7 linked regions of the Macaca fascicularis genome follow. The protein of the gene in region 1 interacts with the protein of each later gene in a pairwise test. Links are inferred from orthologs where the notes say so. Each region holds a gene or a part of one and is shown in the gene's direction. Other genes may lie near its edges. The genes, in order: SMARCE1, TFIP11, RALBP1, CDR2, KIFC3, CCDC136 and TRIM54.

Region 1 (2,350 bases):
TGCTGCATTTTGTATTTTTTAAATCTTAGCTAGACTCATGTAATAAATGATCTAAAGTTCAAAACATTATTTGGTACACTGTTTGAAAGTATGAACCATTAAAACAGGAGATATGATTGTAAAGCCTGATCCTGTCTTGCAGCGAAAACTAGAAGCTGAACTTCTTCAAATAGAGGAACGACACCAGGAGAAGAAGAGGAAATTCCTGGAAAGCACAGATTCATTTAACAATGAACTTAAAAGGGTATCTGTTTAATATGTTAACTATACTTTTATCACCGTACCTGTTACTTTACTTTTCCTCATTCTTTTTTCCAAAATAGTATTTTTATTGAATGTTGTTCACTTTGAAACAGGGCTAACTTTACTATAAAACCTGTAAGATCTTTTTTTTTTTATAAAATTGTTCCCATTCTCTTGACAAAATTGCAATAAATTTGAAATATCATGAAGTATATGCATATCTACTAGGCCTATAAATGCTAGAGCCCTCTGATATTTTAAACTCCCATACAGTCATTAACTACTTTCATTTTATTGTGATTTATTCATCAAATGTCTTCATTAAATGTAATTTATAGTTTGCACTTTGCATTCAGACAAGGAAATCTAGTTGGTAGCCCAGAATGTAAAATGGAAGCCTTATGTATACCCCAGAATTTTCACTATTTTGCCTCACCAGCTGCTCTGGAATATCCCATATTATATGACTGCTAGAGCAGTTTTCTTTTCTTGTAGACCCAAGAGTTTCAGAGAAGACCTAGAACCACATTTTTTTGCGCACATACACAGACACACAGGTGTATAGATATATATATAGTTCATAGGCAAGGAAACCAACTTTTGAAAGAATATATCTGGCTCAGAAATTATAAGGAAAAACATTACCGAGTTCTGTTTTTTTCTGACTAGTTGTGCGGTCTGAAAGTAGAAGTGGATATGGAGAAAATTGCAGCTGAGATTGCACAGGCAGAGGAACAGGCCCGCAAAAGGCAGGAGGAAAGGGAGAAGGAGGCCGCAGAGCAAGCTGAGCGCAGTCAGAGCAGCATCGTTCCTGAGGAAGAACAAGCAGCCAACAAAGGCGAGGAGAAGAAAGACGATGAGAACATTCCAATGGAGACAGGTAACCCACTAGCAACAAACGCAAAGGAAGTGCCAAGACTTTGTATGGCTGTCTTTAATTTGGGTTTTTCTTTCTAAGTGCAGGTATTCTGGTACCTGCCACTGAGGGTGATTCCGAGTACTAGATTTGACATGATACTGACATTCAAAATTTTAACCTTTAATGCTTACATTATTTATCAAGATGTGGTTATTACTGTTAAGATTAATTGTCTTTGGTGTCCTAGGACAGCATTCTGCAAAGTAATACCTGTAAGGCAATCCTGCCCATCACTTGTTTTTGTAAATAAAACTGGAACACAGCCACACTTGTTTGTTTACATACTGTCTGTGGCTGCTTTGGGGCTAAAACAGTATAGTTGAGTAGTTGGAGCAAAAACTGCCTGACCTGCGAAGTCTAAAATATTTTCTGTCTGGCTCTTTACAGAAAAAAATTGCCAGCTCTATCCTAGAAAAACCCTTACTTCTAGGTATACTGATTTTCCTGATTAAAAGCATCCCTCAAGGTAAAAAAATAAAATTAAAAATAACTTGTATAAATAAAACTTACATAAAGTACTGATTACATTGATCATCACTTGTAATTTTGAGATCACCTTACCTCATAGCACTGTTTTGACACTGCCTAGTACACTGTGTAAACAGGACTCAGCTAAAAGTAGTTATGGAAAACAAAACCAAAGGCTTCCTGGAGCATCGTTGAAAGAAGTGGGAGGGACAGTAGTGATACTTGGTTCTCAAATGACAACCTCCAAGTGCCATACTTTGTACTCAAATGACAGCCATCTGGAAAACATGAATGGAATATAGATATCTTTCCCAGGTATTTCTGCAAAATTTAATCCAGCAGATTAACATTTTAAATAGTCATATTTTAAGTTTAACTCTCTGAGTCTCTTTCTGTTTTGTATGAACGTGAATTCATTCATCTTAATGAATTTGGAGCATGAGCACATTTTTGTGGTTAAAACAAAAGCTTGCAAAATAAAATACTGATTTTTGCTAATTTTACAACTAGACGAACACTCAGTCGTTTGCCTCTGTTTTGGCATCTATGAATGGGGCATGTCTTATGCTTAAGGTTTGCAGGTCTTTACTCAGGTTCTGTCCTCCTAGTTCAAGGAAAAAACCTGAAGAAAATTGTTTGAGACTATTAGAGCCAAAACCTCATGCTTTTAATTTCTTACAGGAAACAGCCCAGCATGACTTTAAACAAAGTGTCTAAAAG
Region 2 (3,500 bases), on another chromosome or scaffold:
CCCGAGTAGCTGGGATCACAGGCACGCACCACCACACCCAGCTAATGTTTGTATTTTTAGTAGAGACAGGGTTTCACCATGTTGGCCAGGATGATCTCCATCCCCTGATCTCGTGATCCACCCGCCTTGGCCTCCCAAAGTGCTGGGATTACAGGCGTGAGCCACCGTGCCTGGCTTAATTTGTAGTCTTTTATCCCGCACCCCGTTCACCCTTTCCCCAAGTCCCCAAAGTCCATTGTGTCATTCTTACGCCTTTGCATCCTCATAGCTTAGCTTCCGCTTATGAGTGAAAACACAAGATGTTTGGTTTTCCATTCTTGAGTTACTTCACTTAGAATAGTAGTCTCCAATTCCAACCAGGTTGCTGCGAATGCCATTAATTCATTCCTTTTTATGGCTGAGTCATATTCCATTATATATATATGTACCAGTTTCTTTATCTACTTGTTGATTGGTGGGCATTTGGGTTGGTTCCACATTTTTGCAGTTGTGAATTGTGCTACTGTAAACTTGTGTGAGCAAATATCTTTTTCATAAAATGACTTCTTTTGTGTTTTTTTTTTTGAGATGAAGTCTCGCTTTGTCGCCAGGCTGGAGTACAGTGGCGTGATCTTGGCTCACTGCAACCTCTGCCTCCGGGGTTCAAGCAATTCTCCTGCCTCAGCCTCCCAAGTAGCTGGGACTACGGGCATGCACCACCACGCCCAGCTAACTTTTGTATTTTTAGTAGACACAGGGTTTCACCATGATGGCCAGGATAGTCTCAATCTCTTGACCTCATGATCCGCCTGCCTTGGCCTCCCAAAGTGCTGGGTTTACAGGCGTGAGCCACCGCACCCAGCCATGACTTCTTTTCTTCTGGGTAGATACCCAGTAGTGGGATTGCTGGATCAAATGGTGGTTGTACTTTTAGTTTTCTAAGGAATCTCCACACTGTTTTCCATAGTGGTTGTACAATTACATTTGGCCATGAATTCAGCTGACACTTGTCAAATGTCTGTTGAATATCATGCTTGTGCTAGGTGCTGGGCTTACCCTAGTACAGCAGACAGCCTCTGTCTTTAGTACAGCAGAAAAGGCAGATGGGAAATAAGGTAGTGAACAAATAAAGGCAGGATGCACACCAGGTACAGCGATAGAAAACTGCAGGAGCGACCTCCTTGGAATGGGGGTTAGGACAGAGGTCTTAGAGGAGGTGACATTGAAACTGTGATCAGAGGGTGAGAGATGTCAGCTCATGAATAGAAGCCTATAGGTGGGAAAGCACTTGATACCTAGGAAGAGACCCTTGTGACCCTAAAGCAGCTCTGCCAGGTGGGCGGGCACTGCCTACGAGACCAAGGCCTCAGTTCGAGAGGAGAGTCACGAGAACAAGGAAGAAGCAGGCTCAGGTCTGGCCAGCATGGTGACTGGCCTGATGGTTTCCTCTGATCGGATTTCCATGCTGTTGCATTTTTATTTCTGATTCTAGAGAGGTGGGCGGTGGTGGTGTTCTTTGAAACCAATCAGTGTAATTAACCAGCCTGTCCTCTGCCTTTCTCCCATAGGTTGATATGGGAAGTCTGGATGCCTTTTGTTCGAAATATTGTCACTCAGTGGCAGCCAAGGAACTGTGACCCGATGGTGGACTTTTTGGATAGTTGGGTGCACATCATTCCTGTGTGGATCTTAGATAACATACTGGACCAACTCATCTTCCCCAAGCTGCAAAAGGAGGTGGGGTGAGAGTCACAGGAACAACTGTCATCACTAACTACAGGGACTTGTTCAGTCTATGTCTTCATTATCTCAGTGCTGTTAAAATGCCTGGAATTAACAGAATTTGTCAACACAACTGTTGACCTAGAGTGTTAATTCCAGCCTTTTTCTCAGCACTTTTCCCCCCAAGCCACCCTCAGGAGGGAATTCATTTTCTTGATTTCTTCACTAAAATTAGAATTATGCTATTTCTGAGAGGTAATCAAATGAATGGGCATATTTGTTTGGCGATGTACAAAGGACCATGGGCCTTGGAGAGCATGGGGCCTCCTCCAGGGGCAGCTCTTGCCTTTAACCACACGGGTGTTATGTGACTGCCCAATAGGCGACATGAACTGTTTCTTCTGTTTCTTCTCCCCACATTGCAGGTGGAAAACTGGAACCCGCTCACAGACACTGTTCCCATCCACTCTTGGATCCACCCATGGTTGCCCCTTATGCAGGCACGGCTGGAGCCGCTCTATTCCCCCATCCGTAGCAAGCTGTCCAGTGCCCTGCAGAAGTGGCACCCCAGTGACTCCTCTGCCAAGCTTATCCTCCAGCCCTGGAAGGATGTCTTCACTCCTGGCTCCTGGGAAGCATTCATGGTCAAAAACATAGTGCCCAAGCTGGGTAAGGATATGGGGAAAATGCAGTCCAAGCCCAGCAGCTTTGGTGCCCTGGTTTCTTGGTCAGTGGTGATTTAAAGCATAGCCTTTGTATTCATGAAAGTGCTTAGTACACAATATTCCTTGCTGTTCAGAGGCTGAACATAAATGTAACTTGGGTCCTTTCCGCTGTTTGTTTACAACAGCGACTAATAGTTGACAGTAACAACATCGGACTCTGTGCCTTGTGGTTTTCCTGATTGGCTTTGGCTTCTGGTAACAGGACAGCCATTGGAGTTCTGAAATTTTTGTGGTATTTTATTCTAAATTATTAGGGAGTTATTTCTGGTTTAGCAAAAAAAAAAAACATATATATATATATATATATATTTTTTTTTAAGAATTGCTATGTCAGGAGCTTAAATTTGACCTTTAAAGCAGATTAAAGCCTGAGCAACATGGTTAAACCCCATCTCTACCAAAAATACAAAAACTAGCCAGGTGTGGTGGCATGTGCCTGTGGTCCCAGCTACTAGGGAGGATGGCTTGAACCTGGGAGGCAGAGGTTGCAGTGAGCTGAGATCTGCCATTGCACTCCAGCCTGGGCAACGGTGAGACCCTGTCTCAAAAAAAAAAAAAAAAAAAAACCGCCAGGAGCCGTGACTCATGCCTGTAATCCCAGCACTTTGGGAGGCTGAGGTGGCAGATCACCTGAGATCAGGAGTTTGAGACCAGCCTGGGCAACATGGCAAAACCCTGTCTCTAATAAAAACACAAAAATTAGCCGGCCGCGGTGGTGCACACCTGTACTCCCAGCTACTTAGGAGGCTGAGGCACAAGAGTCACTTGAACCCAGGAGGTGGAGGTTGTTGTGACCTGAGAGGAAAACGGACATTATCTTTGCTCTTTGTGCTTCTGTGGCTTTGCCAGTACTAAAGCTGTGCCTTATAGACCGGGTTTCTCTTCCAGGGATGTGTCTTGGTGAGCTAGTCATTAACCCCCACCAGCAGCACATGGATGCATTCTATTGGGTGATCGACTGGGAAGGGATGATCTCTGTCTCTAGTCTGGTGGGACTTCTTGAAAAGCACTTCTTCCCCAAGTGGCTTCAGGTACACTGTTTTGCTTGGCTTTCTGGGGGAGGGAACTGGGTGG
Region 3 (3,500 bases), on another chromosome or scaffold:
CCCACTCTACTCCTCTCTGAGTGACAGAGCAAAATTCTATCTCTAAAAAATACTCTTCTGTTATTCATTGGTTACACTTTGAAAGCAAAATGTTTCTCAGATTTTAGTTTGATCATTCATATTAGGATTTCAGGATCTGGTAAATATTACATTGATACTTAATATTACTATAATATAATAGAGATGGTTGTATCATAGAAGAGTCAAGTGTGTTGTAAGAGTAAGTTTTAGGTAGGAAGTAATTTCTTGTAGTAGCTTTTCAGCCAACCTAATGCCCTGGTCTCCTAGCATGTGAACATCCACACTTAAATGCTGGCTGTGTCCAGGTATTTGTTTCTGGAGTGAGGGCTTTCAACCTCAACCCAGTTTTACTGCTGTGGTGCTCTCACTTCCCTCACGGTCCTCATTCAGCCCATTGTAGCTGTTAAAATATCTCAAAGTAAGTTCAAAATAAAGAACATAAGATGTTTTAGCTGGGCATGGTGGCTCATGCCTGTAATCGCAGCACTTTGGGAAGCTGAGGTGGGTAGATCATTTGAGGTCAGTAGTTCGAGACCAGCCTGGCCAACATGGTGAAACCCCATCTCTACTGAAAATACAAAAAAATCAATCAGGCGTGGTGGCGCACACCTGTAATCCCAGCTTACCAGAGAGGCTGAGGCAGGAAAATCGCTTGAACCCATGAGGTGGAGCTTGCAGTGAGCTGAGATTGTGCCACAGTACTCTAGCCTGGGCTACAGAGCGAGACTCCATCTCAAAACAAAAAAACAAAACAATACTCAAAAAAACATAAGGTGTTTTAATCAGTTAATACTGTAGTGATAGAAAAAAAAAACAAATGAATGGGCATCAGCTTCTCTATCCTTTTCTTGGTTTTTTTTTTTCCTCTTCAATTCTTTCTGGTGCTTGAATACATGATTTAACTCATATTTTATGAGTCTTCTTCTTAAATTGACCATTTTCTTCTTAAATTGACCATTAACTAGCAAAGACTGTGTTGTCAGTACTGGGTAGAATTTTCTTTATGTGTCCAGGATTAAAGGATATATTATGTTAGACACAAATAACTGAAATAGAATGATAATTTTAATGGTTTTCTTGTAAATCTTTTTTTCTTAGATTAGCAATCGAGTCCTGTATGTGTTTTTCACACATGTGCAAGAACTCTTTGGAAATGTGGTACTAAAGCAAGTGACGAAACCTCTGCGATGGTCTAACATGGCCACGATGCCCACACTGCCAGAGACCCAGGCGGGCATCAAGGAGGAGATCAGGAGACAGGTGTGTGCACCCTGCCTGCCACAGCCTGCGTCTGCATTGGCCATTGTGGAGTCCAGTGGTGATGGGCTCTTGTTTCCTGAGCACTTTCTGTGTGTCTGGAGCTATGTGAGGCACACTGAAGTCAGAAATTCCCATCTGGTACTGTTTCATGCTGAATAAGTCGGAATACCATGGTGGAAAGAGCATAGTTTTTGGAATCAAAAGACCTGGCTTTAAATTCTTGCTCTGCTCTCAGTTATAACTGATTTTAGGCGAATTCTTAACCACCTTAAGCGCTGGTGTTCTTGCTTTAAAATGGGCCCTCTTAAAGGATTGGTGTGAAGATTTTGCCACAAATGAGACAATACATGAAACAGGCCAGGCACGCTGTAAATAGTCTAAAAATGTTTGCTTTTTCTGGACAAGGTTGCTGTCATCAGCCATATTTTATAGATAAGAATATTAAAATTTGGGGAAGTTAAGTAACATGATTATTTATTATAGACCCAAGAGTTGAGCCCAAATCCTGGGCGTTTTTACTATGTTATTTTGATGGAAGTAACCATGCCGTGTTTGTGTGGGTGTGTGTAATCAAGACTAAATAAGAAAGTTAATTACATTTGATTATTTATTTGCATGCACTTTATCAAACCCCTGCTTGCTTTTCCTCCCTTGTGTCTGCCGTGAGCTCCCAGTTCTTACTAGTTAATGATGATGACATTGGAGATGGGGATGTTAAGTATTATTGAACCAATACAAATTAGCGAATAATTCATTGGCAAAACAGTAAGAATGATTTTTCAATCATATCAGTGCCATTATTTTACTCTAATGAAATAAAGGATAATTGAAAAATAGTTGATTCTTCATCTTTAGAAATTGCATGTGTTGTTTAAGATAAGAGGATATGGAATGCAACTTAGTGTGTGGCATTGCTTTCTAGGAGTTTCTTTTGAATTGTTTACATCGAGATCTGCAGGGCGGGATAAAGGATTTGTCTAAAGAAGAAAGATTATGGGAAGTACAAAGAATTTTGACAGCCCTCAAAAGAAAACTCAGAGAAGCTAAAAGACAGGTGGGTTACTAGTTTGATACCTAATGTTTATAATAGAACGTGTTGGAGTCTTTTATGTCCTTTATGTGCTCTTTGAAGTATTTTCTTTCTTTCCTTTTTCTTTTGATATTGACCAGGCTGGTCTCAAACTCTTGGCCTCAAGTAATCCTCCCACCTCGGCCTCCCCCAAAGTGCTGGGATTACAGGCATGAGCCACCACGCCCAGCCCAAGTTCTTTCTTTTAAGAATATTATAGATAATGTCACTTGAAGTGAACTTCTCTGGTGGGAAATTTATTCACTAAAATGTTTCTAGTCCTGTATTATTGATATTGCAGCCTGGTGTCAGTCACATGTTTCAATGTAATCTAGAACGTTTTTTTAATTTTTTTTGAGACAGGATCTCGCTCTGTCACCCAGGCTGGAGTGCAATGGCATGATAATGGTTCACTGTAGCCTCGACCTCCTGGGCTCAAGGGATCCTCCTACCTCAGCGTTCTGAGTACTGAGTAGGTGGGCCTACAGGTGTGTGCCACCATGCTCAGCTGATTTTTTATTGCTTGTAGAAATGGGGTCTTGTTATGTTGCCCAGGCTGGTCTCAAACTTCTGGGCTCAAGCAGTCCTCCCACCTCCCAAAGTGCTGGGATTATAGGCATAAGCCACCATGCCTGGCCTAGAAAGTTTTGTTTTAATTAAAAATGAATTTACTAAAAAATGTGTCATTTCCTGCTCGGTTATACCTGTAAACAAGGCTTTCTGCAGATGAGAAGCAGGCTGGATGGTGACACACCTTCGGGGACTGCTGGAATTTGAGGCATTTAGTATCAGCTCTTTGGAAATGTAGTGATGAGGGTTGCCTGGAAGGTCCTGAAGATCAGGAGAGATTCTATTTATGTAATAAGAAGAAGAGGGGCATGCAGTACCTGATGAGTTTAGGGTACACCAGTCAGACTTTTGAGTTCCCTCTTGTTTAGTGTGTGTTGCTTGGTTCTGGGACTGTGAGTGGACCAGCCACAGCAACAGTAAAATCCCAGATCTCTGGATCACCTTAAAATCCACATTGCAGATCCACTGCAGCATCTAAACAGCACATCCAAGGATCATTAGTTAGCCCTTGCCTGAATTGGGGAACATGATAGTAGGTCTCTGTTGTGGTTGTGTTAAAAAGACAAAGGCAACCTGAGTC
Region 4 (3,500 bases), on another chromosome or scaffold:
TGGCCATCGTGGAGCCCCTCTGATTTGACACCCCGCCCAATACATTCTGCTCCACTCTCCTCAGCCTCCTTAATGGCTCAGTCATGCTTCCTCCCAGGGGCTTTGCACTTGCCTTGCCTCTGCCTGGAGTGCTGTTTCCCTACACGGATCTACATGGGTCACTTATTCCGTTCCTTCATATATCAATTCTAATGTGGCCCTAGTCACATGCTCTTAAATTTCAGCCTCCCACATCCACACTCCTCCTGTACTTCTTTCTTGCTTTATTTATTTATTTATTTTTTTGAGACGGAGTCTGGCTCTGTCACCCAGGCTGGAGTGCAGTGGCACCATCTCGGCTCACTGCAAGCTCCGCCTCCCGGGTTTACGCCATTCTCCTGCCTCAGCCTCCCGAGTAGCTGGGACTACAGGCGCCCGCCACCTCGCCCGGCTAGTTTTTTGTATTTTTTAGTAGAGACGGGGTTTCACCGTGTTAGCCAGGATGGTCTCGATCTCCTGACCTCGTGATCCGCCCGTCTCGGCCTCCCAAAGTGCTGGGATTACAGGCTTGAGCCACCGCGCCCGGCCACTTGCTTTATTTTTTCTCTTTAGCATTTATCACTGTCATGTTTTATTCTGCTGTTTCTCCCAGTAGAATATAAGCTCCATGAGGGCAGGGATTTTTTTTTTAATGTGAGTTCCTTATGGCTCCTGGGCAGTATCCCAGTGCCTAGAATAGTGTCTAATATTATTGAGTATATGCATGCATGCATGAATACTGTTTATCACAGTACGTGAGTTTAGTTACTCATTTGTCTGACTTCCTCCACTAATCTGGGAATATCAGCAAAGCAGGACTTCATTTTATTCACTCTTCTGTAGCTAATGCTTAGCATAGTGCCTGGCGACAAAAACATTCATTTGTGAATCAGTGAATATTAGTAGTACTTTGTATGCATATTGCAACTTGGTTTGTAAAGTACTCCTTTATGTATTATTATTTCATTTGATTTTCACAATCTCATATTGATAAGACATATCTCATATTAATAAGTCATCTCTCTAAACAAGAATACTAATTATAGGGGCCTCTAAAGTCACCATATTGAAAGTATTCTGGTAAATGATAGAACTGGGCCTGAGACTTACCTGCCCAGAGTACAGTGCATTTCCCACTGTATCAAAGGCCTGCTCCATAAGATTTATTATGCAGAGAAGTATTTCAATGACCTATGTTACAACTAGTGTCCTTTATTATATTGTTAACTAAATTTTCATTTCTGGGAGTTGAGTATAATATAAACAAATCCTGTTTTATGGACATTATGCCTAAGAGTAGAGAGAGTTGAAAAATGAGATTTAAAATAAAATATAATTCTGTGCTAAATGGAAGTATGAGCTACTGACATGTAATTACCTCGAAAACCACATTGCTGTTTTGCTTTTCTAGTTGTTCATCTTGCAGAAGGATACAAAGAAAAGTAGAGTGACCTGGGGCAGTGTTCTTAATGCTGATGTATTTTTCCTTTTCTTGACTGAATAATTTTTAGTCCCCTTAGGAGCCCAGGATATATGACAATAAACTTTAACAGTTGTATTCACAGCAGCCAAATTCATGGGAACTTTAAAGATTTTTGAAAGCTCCACCTATACTTTGGCTCAAGGGTCCATTCAAAAAAGTAGACTTGTCGGGATATGAATACATCGATTCTACTAGCAAATGGGATTTTAGAAGTAACACTGCGGAATGATCATTCCTGAACAAATAACTGCATCTCCATAAAGTAGATGACTATTTTTCACTTCTTACAAGTATGGGTACATAAGAGAATACTTTACCTGCTGGAGGCATCAGTTTAACTGAATTTTAAGTAGAACTCAGGTTTCCTTCTGTGCCACTCAACCTTCCATTGGGATGTGACCTAAACTACATGTTCTTTTTTGAAGGACTCGGTTATATAAATTGTTGATGTGAGATCATTTGTATTCTAAGATTCGTTTGTTGTGCTAGATCTCCAACTTGCTGCTGAGCTTGGGAAGACATTACTGGATCGGAACACAGAGTTGGAGGACTCTCTTCAGCAGATGTATACAACCAATCAGGAGCAGTTACAGGAAATTGAGGTAATTCACTCGGCAGGAGAGTTACACTTTTGACACTTTGATGTGTTGTTGTTATGTCAATCACATACTGGTAAAATAACACTTGCAATTAGACACAGCATTTTATTTTTTAACACAGACTGTTTTGAGAATAAGAACCGCCTCCCGAGTAGCTGGGATTACAGGCGCCTGCCACCACGCCCAGCTAATTTTTGTATTTTTAGTAGAGATAGGGTTTCACCATGTTGGCCAGGCTGGTCTCGAACTCCTGACCTCAGGTGATCCACCTGCCTTGGCTTCCGAAAGTGCTGGTATTACAGGCATGAGCCACCACACCCAGCCTAAAAAATGCAATATTTAAGATATACAGAATGGTGTTTAAGAGAACAATACTATGAATACTCATATATCCACCACCTAGCTTAAGAAAGACGACTACCCACACTGTTGAACTTCCCACCAGAGAGGGAACTTACACCTCCTCCTTGGTCGCATATCCCTCCCACCTACTACTAAACCATATCCTAAATTTGGAAAAAAAAAAAAAAAAAAAATCATGGCTCCTTATTTCACAATGTGTTCAGATGTTTTGCTCCATTCAAATAATCATAAAATACATGTTGCTTTCTCTCTGCTGTGATCTTGATTTGTTGACATTTTTGCTGGATATTTTATCATTAAAATACTACATTTTTGACTGAGTGTGGTGGCATATGCCTGTAATCTCAGCACTTTAGGATGCTGAGGGAGACAGATTGCTCAAGCTCAGGAATTCGAGACCAGCCTGGGCAACCCGGTGAAGCCCCATCTCTACAAAAAAATATAAAAATTAGTCTGGTGTGGTGGCGTGTGCCTGTAGTCCCAGCTACTTGGGAGACAAAGGTGGGAGAATCACCTGAACCTGGGAAGTCAAGGCTACAGTGAGCCGTGATTGTGCCAGTACACTCCAGGTTAGGAGATGGGAGCGAGACCTTGTCTCAATAAAAAAATATAATAATATAATACCTTTTGCCTAGCTTAACAAAACTAAAATGAAAGATGCTAGACTAGGGCGTTAAAATGGCCCTCCATGCTGCTAATCTTATAAACGGTCCCATTCAAGTAGTTCAGTTATGTGTAGGCCACTTGACTGCAAAGATAATAATGGATATTAACCAGACAGTGTCCCATCAGAACACCTTTGTCCATGTCCCAACCCATGCTCCCCGCCACAAGGGGACTGTACTTAAATTATATAAATGCTTCCCCCTCAAACTGGTACAGTAGACCCAGGACTCTTGTGTCTGTGCACAGAAAAATGTAAAAGACTAGAATGGTGAAGTAGTTCATTATAATGAGTACTTACTAAAACTTTGATTATTTCCTGAACCAGGTGCTGGGAATTCAAACAAGTAAAGAATTACGTAGTCCTTTCTTAG
Region 5 (3,500 bases), on another chromosome or scaffold:
ATTCCAGTTACTGAGGAGGCTGAGGCAGGAGAATCACTTGAACCCGGGAGGTGGAGGTTGCAGTGAACCAAGATCGTGCCACTACACTCTAGCCTGGGTGACAGCGAGACTCTATCTCAAAAACAAAAAACATGCTACATACATATTTTTTAAAAAATTATTTATTAGAGACAGGGTTCATTATGTTGCCCAGGCTGGTCTTGAACTCCTGGCTTCAAGCAGTCCTCCTGCCTTGGCCTCCCACAGTGCTGAGATTATTGGTGTGAGCCACCATGACTGGCCGATACAGTCTTATCTCTGTTAGGTTTAACTTAATTCTTTCAAGCTGTACTTGTATATATGAGAATAGCCAGTGCCTCTTAAGTGCCTCCTACATGTCGAGCTGTTTATAGCCGTTAGCTCCTTGAATTTGTATGATAGCTTTGCAAAGACTAATATATTTTGGGAACAGAATATAGTTCTTCTTTTTTTTTTTTTTTTTTTTTTTTTTTTTGAGACGGAGTCTTGCTCTGTCGCCCAGGCTGGAGTGCAGTGGCGCGATCTTGGCTCACTGCAAGCTCCGCCTCCCGGGTTCACGCCATTCTCCTGCCTCAGCCTCCTGAGTAGCTAGGACTACAGGCGCCCACAACCGCGCCCGGCTAATTTTTTGTATTTTTAGTAGAGACGGGGTTTCACCGTGGTCTCGATCTCCTGACCTTGTGATCCGCCCGCCTCGGCCTCCCAAAGTGCTGGGATTACAGGCGTGAGCCACCGCGCCCGGCTATAGTTCTTCTTTAAAAGAGTATGTCAATAATACGTGGACATGGTGAAAAGTCAAACTCCATAGCGGGGCATCAGGTGAATAGGAAAGGCCTCTCTGCCACCCACCCAACTCCCCCAGTGTGGCCTCTCAGCATTTCCCCCTGACCATTCTGAGCATGCTTAAGCCAATTGATATGTGTGTGTGTGAATATATGGTAGGCCCCTCCCCCACTCACAGGTTCTGCGCTCCCAGATTCAAGCAACCACAGATCAAAAATATTTGAAAAAGATTAAAAATAACAGTACAACATTTAAAAATAATAGAAGTAAAAATAACATATAACAACTATTTACACAGCATTTTTTTTTTTTTTTTTGAGACAGTGTTTCGCTCTTGTTGCCCAGGCTGGAGTGCAATGGCGGGATCTCAGCTTACTGCAACCTCTACCTCCCGGGTTCAAGTGACTCTCCTGCCTCAGCCTCCTCAGTAGCTGGGATTACAGGCACATGCCACCATGCCCAGCTAGGTTTTTTTGTTGTTGTTGTTGATTTGTATTTTTAATAGAGGCAGGACTTCACCATGTTGGCCAGGCTGGTTTTGAACTCCTGACCTCAGGTGATCTGCTCACCTTGACCTCCCCAAGTGCTGGGATTACAGGCATGAGCCACCGCACCCAGCCCCTACCTGGCATTTTCATTGTATTAGGTATTGTAAGTAACCTGGAGATGATTTAAAGGACATGGGCGGGGCTGGGCACAGTGGCTCATGCCTGTAATCATAACACTTCAGGAGGCTGAGGCAGGAGGAGCACTTGAGCCCAGGAGTTCAAGACAAGTCTGGACAACATAGTGGGACCCCATCTCTACAAAAATAAAAAAACTAGCTGAGTGCTGTGTCCTGCACCTGTAGTCCCAGCTACTCTGGAGGCTGAGGTGGGAGGATCGCTTGGGCCTGGGAAGTCGAGGCTACAGTGAGCCAAGATAACACCATTCATGGTGAGTTTCCACCACGTCCACGGAGCTGTGATTGCACTCCAGCCTGGGCAACAGAGCAAGACCCTGTCTCAAAAAAGTAAAGTATATGGGAGGATATGTGTAGGTCACAGGCAAACACTATATCATTTTATATCTGGGGCTTGAGCATCTGTGGAGTTTTATATCCTCCATGGTTACCAAGGGACGACTGTATACACTGTATACACTTTCCTTCTACCCCAGAAAGGGGACGTGTGATTCTGTATACAGCGGGATACTGTATGTGTGATTTTGCATCTTCTTTCCCCCTGTGAAATGTAACTGGGAGATCTTTATAGATTCATGATTTAGATGGTATTATCCCTGTTTTCCAGATGTGAAAATTGAGGCTTAAAGACATTGAGTCAGCAGTCTCAGATCCCCAGCTACTCAGGGGCAGAGCTGGAATTTGAGTCTGGTTGAATCACATAGTCAAGCACTCATGCTATGGTGTGGAGGCTGAGTCCTGGCTCTATGCTTATTAGCAGAGCAGCCTTGAGCTGTCAGCTTAGAGTCTCTGGGGCTCAGTTTCATCATCTGTAAAATGGGGATGGCAGCAGTACCTACCCAGAGGGGTGATTGCAATAGTCTGACATGTGATAGTGTGTGTCAGGTACTCAGCCAGGGGCAGGAGGCAGTGAGCACCCCTCAGGGGTGGGCAGTTGGGCCAGCAAGGCTGATGGAGCTGACCCCCTGACAGTGGTGTGCACCCCCCACCAGATAGGCCAGGCCATCGAGGAGGTCAACAGCAACAACCAGGAGCTGCTGCGCAAGTACCGCCGTGAGCTGCAGCTGCGCAAGAAGTGCCACAACGAGCTCGTGCGGCTGAAAGGTGACTGCAGGAGGGCTGGGGGTGGACACCAGCCTCGGGGCCTCGACCTGGCTTGGCAGTCATGCCTGGAGCTCACCCCACCGTTGAGGCGCTATTCTAATCCCATCTCTGTAGATAAGGAAACAGAGGCACAGAGAAGGCAGGGAACTTGCTCAAAGCCACAGGGATATTAAATGGTCCGCCTTGGATTTGAACTTGAGTCTGTCCAGCTCAGAAGCCCTGGCCCCAGTGCTTGGGCAGGTGACTCCCCAGGCCCTGGATGGCCGAGGGGTGTGGTACTGCAGCACTGGGTTGTTGGCAGCTGGAAAGCCACTTGTTCTGACCTGGGGCCTGGTCAAGCTTGAGACTCCACCATGCACTGCATGGAGCTCTAGAGTGCCTGCTCTGTGCCAGGTGCCGTTCCAGCCCGAGGCTATGGTCATGGCCCCACAGACTGCCTCCTGGTGCTCACTTTAGTATGAGAATGGACAATGGTGATTGTCAGGGAACCCCAACCCTGCCCCTTTCCAGGGCTGAGACAGGCTCTCCTGGGTATGGGACAGGCAAATGTGTTGAGGGGCTTCCCAGAGAAGGCAAAGTTAGAGCTGAGACCTGGATGGTGAGCTGGAACAGATGGGTGAAAAGGGAGGGCAGGTGGGCCATGCTGGAAGTGGGGGATGTTTCCTCTTCATTACAAGAACACAGGAATCCCAACGAAGGCTGGAAGTAGATGGTGGCATGACCAGCTCATGCTGCCAGATACCCTTGTGGCTGCCCCACTATCTGGGCCCTCAGATACACCATCAGTCATCACCTGCTGCCAGGCCTATATGCCCATCTGATTCCTAAGCCCTGTCCTGCCATTCAGAAGGCTCTTTGCTCACTGGGGCCCAAGCCCCTCATTGTCTAGATGAAGAAACTGAAGTCCAGGGAG
Region 6 (3,500 bases), on another chromosome or scaffold:
GGTTTTACACATGATTCCATGTATGTAGACAATGGAATATAGAGTGCTGACTAGGCAAGAGAAGGACCTAGGCTCTTTCAGGATTTATTCTGTGACTTTGAAGTAGTTAAATTCTTTGTTGTTGTTGTTGTTGTTGAAACAGAGTCTCACTCTGTCACCCAGGCTGGAGTGCAGTGACACGATCTCAGCTCACTGCAGCCTCTGCCTCCTGGTTTCAAGCGATTTTCCTGTCTCAGCCTCCCGAGTAGCTGGGACTACAGGCACATGCCACCGCGCCTGGCTAATTTTTGTATTTTTAGTTGAGACGAGGTTTCACCATGTTGGTCAGGCTGGTCTCGAACTCCTGACCTCAGGTAATCCACCTGCCTCGGCCTCCCAAGCTTCGATGACAGGCATGAGCTGCCATGCCCTGCCAGTAATTAAATTGTTGAAGGTTGAATTGTGCCCTCTTTAAATGGAAGAGAATTCTACTCTTATCTCACTTCCTTTTAGTAGTAAATCCTGATAGTGATAAATAAGGGCTTATTCATTTTTTTTCTTTTCCATAGTGTATAAAATGCAAGCCGTTATCATTTATCCTGTTGAGCACTTTCAGCTCCTGATTACTGATGGGAAATGGAAAGGTGTTGAAGCATGTTGGAGAAAAGGCCCAAGAGTCTCTAAAGATGGTGGAGCTGGTCACATTCTGCCAGAAACTCAGTAGTTCCTGTCCCTGGGGAAAGGCCTTCAGGAGACAGAGGACTGGGAAGGTTATTTGGGCTACCTCAACAGTCTCTTTGCCTTTCTATATCCAGGCTCACGTTTCCTCCTTTTTCCACTTCTACTCAATTTAGGAGCCCAGGGGATCCGTGACTTGCTCGTCACCTCTTCCCCTAATGGGAAAAACGATGGGAAAGGAGAAGCATGCTGGCAGACAGCACCTGTTTTTTTCTCTAGCCATAAAACAGCATTGAGATCTGTCTGATACTGGAAGATTTGGGTTTTTGGAAATGGGATGATTTAGACTTCTCAATCCAAATTCAGCAATAGCGCATACTTTCTAAAGATATAAAGAGAGAATTAGGAAAGCAAAAATGGGAAAAATTAGGGTGAAATTAGGTCCTTATTGGTAAGGAGTGTAATTGCATTCAAAAACAACTGGGGTTAATGAGAATAACAGGAGCTAAGAGTTCCCAGCAGGGTGGGAATATGGTGTATACACCAAAGGAAAGGGCCAGAGAAGAGGAAAGGGGCATCGATAGCATTCGCCATCAAACTGCCCCCAGAAAGGAATGGTAGAAGTTTAGAGCAAGGCCAGCCACCAGTCTAGAGCAACCTGCTCTGAAAGACCAGCCTGTGGGGGATCCCCAATCGGTATCTAAACAGCCAGGGTGCATTGTGGCTTGGGGTGACCAGTCCAAAGTGACTGCACAGGGAGAGAATCACAAGAGGCAGGAGAGCGCGGAAGTGCTCTGTTAGCCACCCAGGAAGCTTACCTTACAGAGTAACCACCCCCTCCGCACCCGCCCCCACCCACAGTGTGACACACTGCTGTCCAGACTGACAGAATTGCAGGAAAAGTACAAGGCCAGCCAGAAGGAGATGGGGCAGCTGCAGATGGAGCAGTGTGAGCTCCTGGAGGACCAGAGGAGGATGCAGGAGGAGCAGGGCCAGCTGCAGGAAGAGCTGCACAGGCTCACACTGCCACTGCCCAAGAGTGGCCTCTTACTCAAGGTAACTCCGCCAGAGGCAGCTGCTAACTGGGGAAGCTGCTCTGAGAAGCTTCCCTGTGTGACTAGGGAAAAATAGAAGGGTGGAGGTTGAACTTTTTCTTCTTCTTACCAATGACTCCTTACTTTCTCACCACTCTCCCCAAACCAAAAAGCTCCATAGAGCCAATTAGAGTTTTTCTTATAAGGGCTTTAAATCTTAAAATACCTTTTATACTCTGGAATCTGTGCAGCAGTTTATATTTAGTTATTTAGTCCATCTGGAGAAAATGCACCTGAAACCACTTTGTAAATGACAAAATATATCCCAACGTAAGAAACCATTGCTACTTTTAGCTGGTCTCCATAGAAAGACTCCCCCTGTCCCCAGATGGGCTCTGTGAAGCCAGCCCTGAGATTCTTCAGGGAATTGTTCACAGCAGGGATGAGGCACCAAGGAGGCATCGGACTTTCTGTGTAACCACCACAATCCCTTGCCTCCTTCCTTCTACTCCGCCTCAGAGTCAGGAGCTACTCACCAAGTTAGAAGACCTGTGTGAGCTGCAGCTGCTCTACCAAGGCATGCAGGAGGAACAGAAGAAGCTGATACAGAACCAGGACTGTGTATTAAAAGAACAATTAGAGATCCACGAAGAGCTGCGACGTTTCAAAGAGTCTCATTTCCAGGAAGTGCTGGAGAATCCCGATGATTCCAAATTGGCTAAGTCCTCAAAATATAATCGAAACAAGGTAACCATAGCAAGAGGTAGGGAGACAGTTCTCCTGAGCACAGCAGCATGACAGGGAGAGTGGGCACTGCTGAAGGGTCAGAGTTGGGAAGGCCTGTTTGGCCAGGGGTAAGGATAAGGCTAAAGCCCTGCCCTTCACCACCTGTGACCTCTTTCAGGCTCCATTAAGAGGTGGCTTTTAGATACAGCCTGAGGACCTCACCTAGATGCCATTATCCTTTATCATATTGATATTCACAGTGCCCAGTTGAAGCACTGTGAGCACTCAGGGCAGAGCTGGGATGACCCAAAATCTGTCATCGGATCATTTGACTCATTCCTAGTAAGATGTATAGTTGGATTCCTTTGGACTGACTCTAAACATGTCATCTTTTTCTTGAGTGGAAAAGTACGGTTCTCAGTTATCAAAATCGTTCACCTTTGGTGTTATCTGTGAGGCAAATTTGGGCCCTTTCATTTCCAAGAGAAGAATTCCTAGCACATGGGGTTCTTAGTACTGACCACACTATCTTCATTGGAACTTTGGTGGCAATAACAGAGCAAGGTCACAGGGGTTAGACCAGAAAATCGATGCCTTTCAAGTACCAGCAAGGGGTCATACCGATGAGGTGACACAGGTGGAGATCACCGTACAATTCTATTCAGGGTTGGGGGCTAAAGTTGTTCTGAGGTCTCAGCGTGGGTGAGGAGGGGCAGGTAGACAGTTTCGGTTTAGGCCGAATCTATTCATTCAGATCTTATTCTGAACAAGGAGAACCAGGGAGTAGCAGAAGTCAACACTGTGAGGCTGGATCATATTCCAGGGGCAGCAGATGTCCAGGCTGCAGGCCTGGGTAACACAGCTGGGAACCAGGTATAAAATATTTCCTTAACTGATCAGATCTCATCCTGGACATCAGCGCCAAGAAGCCAGGCCCAGAGAGCCTGGGAAACATGCCCAGAGGCCAGATTCAGAATTGGGGCAGGAGATACAGGAACTAATAGTGAGACTTTGATTCCAGTTCTTCATATTGCCGCGTTCAAGGCCAGGCTGATTTTACAACTAGGGGTGGGCAGGGAGACT
Region 7 (3,969 bases), on another chromosome or scaffold:
TCTGGACTCTTTTCCCACTCTTGCCTCTTTGTGCTGCTGTTTCGTATCCTCCTCACACCGTGTATTTCCTACCCACTCAGGGTCACTAGCTACTAACTCCTCAGACTTCTCTTCCTGGACTGGGAGAAGGGCTAAAGAATGGCGGTAAATAAAAGAGCTTTTGTCCAATCCCAAGGCATATTTTGGACCCAGAAAAGACAAATTGTGTCTGGGGTGGAGGAAAAAGGCCTAAAGAAATTGCTTCTTGGCTTTTTGGCTAATATCAAGTGGAGAAAAAGACCTGTAGGAGAAAAAGAAGACCAGTGCTCACAACTGGGGCGAGCCTGGCTTGGAGAGGAGGAGTCCTGGACAACTGTGGAGCTGGGGCAGAGGCTTCCTGGAGCCTTATGATTATGACTTTGTCAGTGCTCTAAAATTTCCCTGGAGGTTGATTCCCTGGGTGCCCAAAATAGGTCCCTGGCATTCATGTCCTTTCTGCCCAGCTCACCTTCTCCCAATTTCCTAACAAATTTGAAGTCCTTAGAGTGGCTCCAGGGATGTGTTCACGAACCAGAATCCCACATTTCCTCGGGCGCATGCTCATAGGTAGGTCCAGGCCTTGGCACAGTACTCATTTCTAGCCTCTTGAGCTTCATTTCCTAGGGTGATATAAGAAAAGGCAGGCAAGAACAAAAATGAGCCAGAGGTATTGGACAAGAGGCTTGATGGAGTCTCTGGAGCTGCTGTTCTGAATCACACAGTCTTGAGGAGGAGGACCAGGGTCACTGGCTGAGCCTGTGGAGGAGGCAACTGCTACTGACTCTAAGTCTGGCAAGATCTTTCCTCCCACCCTGAGCTATGTATGGGTGCTTCTCACACAGGCAGATTTAGATTCTGTGTCACTGTCCTGGAAGAAGGGCCCAAGCCAGAGCAGGGGTCCTGGGCTCAGAGGAGCCTTCAGAGTGAGAGGGCAGCACCTTTGCTGACCCACCTTTCACCGTAAGCAGTGGTGCTTGCCCCTGCCCTTGCTCAGGGGAGTCACCCATTCCTGAGTGAGTCAGGGTCACTCACTCCGTGACAGCTGTGGCTCGCCTTACATGAGCTAAATTGGGAATTGGAATGTCATGCAGATGCCCCTTGTCTCCCCACCCCCACAGTAAAATTAATCTCCTCTCTGGGGAGTAAGGGACAAACAGTGCTACCCACAGAGTGAACAAGAGAGAGTCATTTGGGAAACAAAAGGAGGACTTTACAGAGAGAGAGGGATAGCTAAAACTACGTGAGCCTGCCGAGGGTGCAGAGCAGAAAGTAGAGACAGAAGTGTCTGAAGACTGCTATCTGGGACGAGACAAGTTGTTAAAGGGACAGGAGAGAGAGCAGAGCTATTTCAAGAGTGAGCCACAGAAGGGAATCCACAGGCCGTCTGAGTGAGGAAGGGTCTACAGACAGTGAGTGAAGGCCAGGAGCAGGACCCAAGCCAGGGTAGGCACAACCACCGAGGGGATGAACTTCACCGTGGGTTTCAAGCCGCTGCTAGGGGATGCACACAGCATGGACAACCTGGAGAAGCAGCTCATCTGCCCCATCTGCCTGGAGATGTTCTCCAAACCAGTGGTGATCCTGCCCTGCCAACACAACCTGTGCCGCAAGTGTGCCAACGACGTCTTCCAGGTGGGCGCCAGGGATGGGGCAGGGCCAGGTAAAGCAATGCAGACCTGTGGGGGACTGATCAGGTCAGAGCTAAGACCCCAGAAAGTGATGGATAGAGTGCTCTCTGAGGTAGGTGGTGGCTGTTGTGGCTGGAGAGCAGAAGGGCTGGGGTCCAAGCAAATCCCAGAGCAAGCATGAGTCAGCAGCTGCCCTGCAGGCTGGCAGGTACAGCCTGTCCATAGACGGCAGCTGGAGTGCTGGGATCTGCTGAGGAAAGGAGACCCTGTGGAAACTGGGAGGGAGGGGATCCTACACCGGCCTTTTAAGAGCCTGTGCCAGACTCTGCATTCCAGTTTGGAGTTTCACACTTTGAGAGCATTGCGGAAAATACGGAGAAAAGATTAATGAGATAATGAAACATTAAAAAACAAACAGAAAAAACCCAACCCTGTGAGAAAGCTCCATAATGGCAGTAAAACGATTCGTGTTTAAGGAAAGTTCAGGGCATCCGTTGTGGGGGACAGAGTTAGACGCAGTGGGCAGGAGACTGGGAACTCTCCCCAACTTGAGTTCATACCTGTTACCTCCAGATTGTTGAGTAAAGAGGCCTACTGGTTCAAAGCTATTGAGGTCACTTGACAAGAAGAGAGAAGGCAAAGAAATTTACTTTTAGAAGTCTAGCCAGTTTTGGTTTATTTGTGGTCATGGAGCCAAGCATAGCTAATCAAATTCACAGATACCATTTTAGCCACTGGTTTAGAAATAAAAGCTGCATATACCAGAATGGATTATAAGTGGGCTTTTTTTTCTTTTCCTGTGCTACCGGGGAGGTTCTAGTAGGCTATGAAATGGAACAGAGATCAGGGTGAGGGGCAAAGGCACACACACACACACACACACACACACACACACGCGGCCTTGCCGATTAAGCAAAAGCTCTGAATGTGGCCGGGCGTGGTGGCTCACGCCTGTAATCCCAGCACTTTGGGAGGCGAGGCCGGCGGATCACGAGGTCAGGAGTTCGAGACCGGCCTGGCCAATATGGTGAAACCCCATCTCTACCAAAAATACAAAAATTAGCTAGGCGTGGTGGCAGGCGCCTGTAGTCCCAGCTCCTCAGGAGGCTGAGGCAGGAGAATCACTTGAACCCAGGAGGCGGAGGTTGCCATGAGTCGAGATCATGCCATTGTACTCTGACCTGGGTGACAGAGCAAGACTCTGTCTCAAAAACACAAAAACAAACCCTGAATAGACCAGAGCTGGCTTAGTATGTGTGTCAGTGATACGGAACATCCCAAACAAGTATTCTTCAGTGTCAGAAATGATGAGGAAATGTGTTAAACACAAGGGATTTTTAACCTAACCAAGAAAATACTTCCCTCTTAAGTTCCTCGGGGCAGCTTGTTTGGGAAAGGAATGGACTGGCTAGGTCCCGCCATCCCACGATGTACCCTGTGACCCGCCCCTTGTATGTCTGCTGTGTGTCATCTTCACTGCAGACCAGCACTCTGTGGTCTCTCCTGCCATCTTCCCATTGAGGCCCATTCCCTCTCCTATTCTTTTATGTGTCCAAACCTGCCATTATTCAGCTCCAGAGTATCTCAGAGGCAGTAGATTTTCCGTCTCGGGGGACCCAGACCAAATGCTATGCCTCCTCATCCTGGGCATGAAGTCCTGCATGAGAGGCAATGCTTTGCCCACCATCTTGGTGTTTCCTTGGTCTGAGGAATTCCGAACATCCTTCAGGCTGAGATGCCTAGGAGGAAATGGCGGAAAGATTTTGCCATCATTTCTCATGAACTGACAGTGAAACATCCTCTCACTGGAACTTGAAATGTGTGAAAACAAAGAGAAGTTTTGAAAGTTAAGGTGACGTGTCCTATAGAAAAGTGGTCAGAATGTCCAAGAGCATTCCTGGGTGCCTCTGTCGTCTGGCAGAGGGGCCCAGGAGCAGTCCCCATACATGGAGGCTAGAATGTGTTCAAGTGACATGCTTGTTTAAGTCAACCCTTTCTACCCAAGCACACTGTTTCAGTTCCAGAAAGCTCTGGAATACTGATCTGGGCTCAGAGAGACCTTGGAATGGCTTGGGGCAAACCCTGTACAGAATATTTGGAGATAACGTGATACCCAGGGCTTTGGGGTGGCCCTGTGGGTCTGGAGTGATGTGTGTCGTTTGAGGTGCAGAGCAGCCCTGGCCCCTCCAAGGAGGAAGAGTGAAGAGCTCATCCCTTGCTGCTTATTTGGGAGGGCCTGGTGGGAGGCTGACCCAGTTCTTCAGCTGCACTCAAGTCTGTATATCTCAATATATCTCAGTAGATCTCCCTCGGAAAGATGAGC

The links.
Region 2: the proteins of SMARCE1 (region 1) and TFIP11 interact in binary tests that used the Homo sapiens proteins (3 or more experiments, as listed by UniProt). The two-hybrid records come from large-scale screens. The link is inferred for Macaca fascicularis from reciprocal best matches to the Homo sapiens genes SMARCE1 and TFIP11.
Region 3: the proteins of SMARCE1 (region 1) and RALBP1 interact in binary tests that used the Homo sapiens proteins (3 or more experiments, as listed by UniProt). The two-hybrid records come from large-scale screens. The link is inferred for Macaca fascicularis from reciprocal best matches to the Homo sapiens genes SMARCE1 and RALBP1.
Region 4: the proteins of SMARCE1 (region 1) and CDR2 interact in binary tests that used the Homo sapiens proteins (3 or more experiments, as listed by UniProt). The two-hybrid records come from large-scale screens. The link is inferred for Macaca fascicularis from reciprocal best matches to the Homo sapiens genes SMARCE1 and CDR2.
Region 5: the proteins of SMARCE1 (region 1) and KIFC3 interact in binary tests that used the Homo sapiens proteins (3 or more experiments, as listed by UniProt). The two-hybrid records come from large-scale screens. The link is inferred for Macaca fascicularis from reciprocal best matches to the Homo sapiens genes SMARCE1 and KIFC3.
Region 6: the proteins of SMARCE1 (region 1) and CCDC136 interact in binary tests that used the Homo sapiens proteins (3 or more experiments, as listed by UniProt). The two-hybrid records come from large-scale screens. The link is inferred for Macaca fascicularis from reciprocal best matches to the Homo sapiens genes SMARCE1 and CCDC136.
Region 7: the proteins of SMARCE1 (region 1) and TRIM54 interact in binary tests that used the Homo sapiens proteins (3 or more experiments, as listed by UniProt). The two-hybrid records come from large-scale screens. The link is inferred for Macaca fascicularis from reciprocal best matches to the Homo sapiens genes SMARCE1 and TRIM54.

Annotation. Positions count from the first base shown.
Region 1 is NC_088390.1:61,713,819-61,716,168, reverse strand, and holds part of SMARCE1 (SWI/SNF-related matrix-associated actin-dependent regulator of chromatin subfamily E member 1), read left to right. Parts: intron 1-142; coding exon 143-244; intron 245-912; coding exon 913-1,123; intron 1,124-1,549; coding exon of another isoform or gene 1,550-1,614; exon of another isoform or gene 1,615-1,628; intron 1,629-2,350. UniProt on the Homo sapiens protein: Involved in transcriptional activation and repression of select genes by chromatin remodeling (alteration of DNA-nucleosome topology).
Region 2 is NC_088384.1:25,186,325-25,189,824, forward strand, and holds part of TFIP11 (tuftelin-interacting protein 11), read left to right. Parts: intron 1-1,547; coding exon 1,548-1,716; intron 1,717-2,126; coding exon 2,127-2,370; intron 2,371-3,314; coding exon 3,315-3,457; intron 3,458-3,500. UniProt on the Homo sapiens protein: Involved in pre-mRNA splicing, specifically in spliceosome disassembly during late-stage splicing events. Intron turnover seems to proceed through reactions in two lariat-intron associated complexes termed Intron Large (IL) and Intron Small (IS).
Region 3 is NC_088392.1:77,877,596-77,881,095, forward strand, and holds part of RALBP1 (ralA-binding protein 1), read left to right. Parts: intron 1-1,119; coding exon 1,120-1,281; intron 1,282-2,203; coding exon 2,204-2,335; intron 2,336-3,500. UniProt on the Homo sapiens protein: Multifunctional protein that functions as a downstream effector of RALA and RALB. As a GTPase-activating protein/GAP can inactivate CDC42 and RAC1 by stimulating their GTPase activity.
Region 4 is NC_088394.1:21,353,323-21,356,822, reverse strand, and holds part of CDR2 (cerebellar degeneration-related protein 2), read left to right. Parts: intron 1-1,990; coding exon 1,991-2,103; intron 2,104-3,500.
Region 5 is NC_088394.1:53,871,698-53,875,197, reverse strand, and holds part of KIFC3 (kinesin-like protein KIFC3), read left to right. Parts: intron 1-2,475; coding exon 2,476-2,587; intron 2,588-3,500. UniProt on the Homo sapiens protein: Minus-end microtubule-dependent motor protein. Involved in apically targeted transport. Required for zonula adherens maintenance.
Region 6 is NC_088377.1:170,267,989-170,271,488, forward strand, and holds part of CCDC136 (coiled-coil domain-containing protein 136), read left to right. Parts: intron 1-1,518; coding exon 1,519-1,713; intron 1,714-2,210; coding exon 2,211-2,438; intron 2,439-3,500. UniProt on the Homo sapiens protein: May play a role in acrosome formation in spermatogenesis and in fertilization.
Region 7 is NC_088387.1:94,935,227-94,939,195, reverse strand, and holds the start of TRIM54 (tripartite motif-containing protein 54), read left to right. Parts: upstream 1-1,169; 5' UTR 1,170-1,482; coding exon 1,483-1,650; intron 1,651-3,969. UniProt on the Homo sapiens protein: May bind and stabilize microtubules during myotubes formation.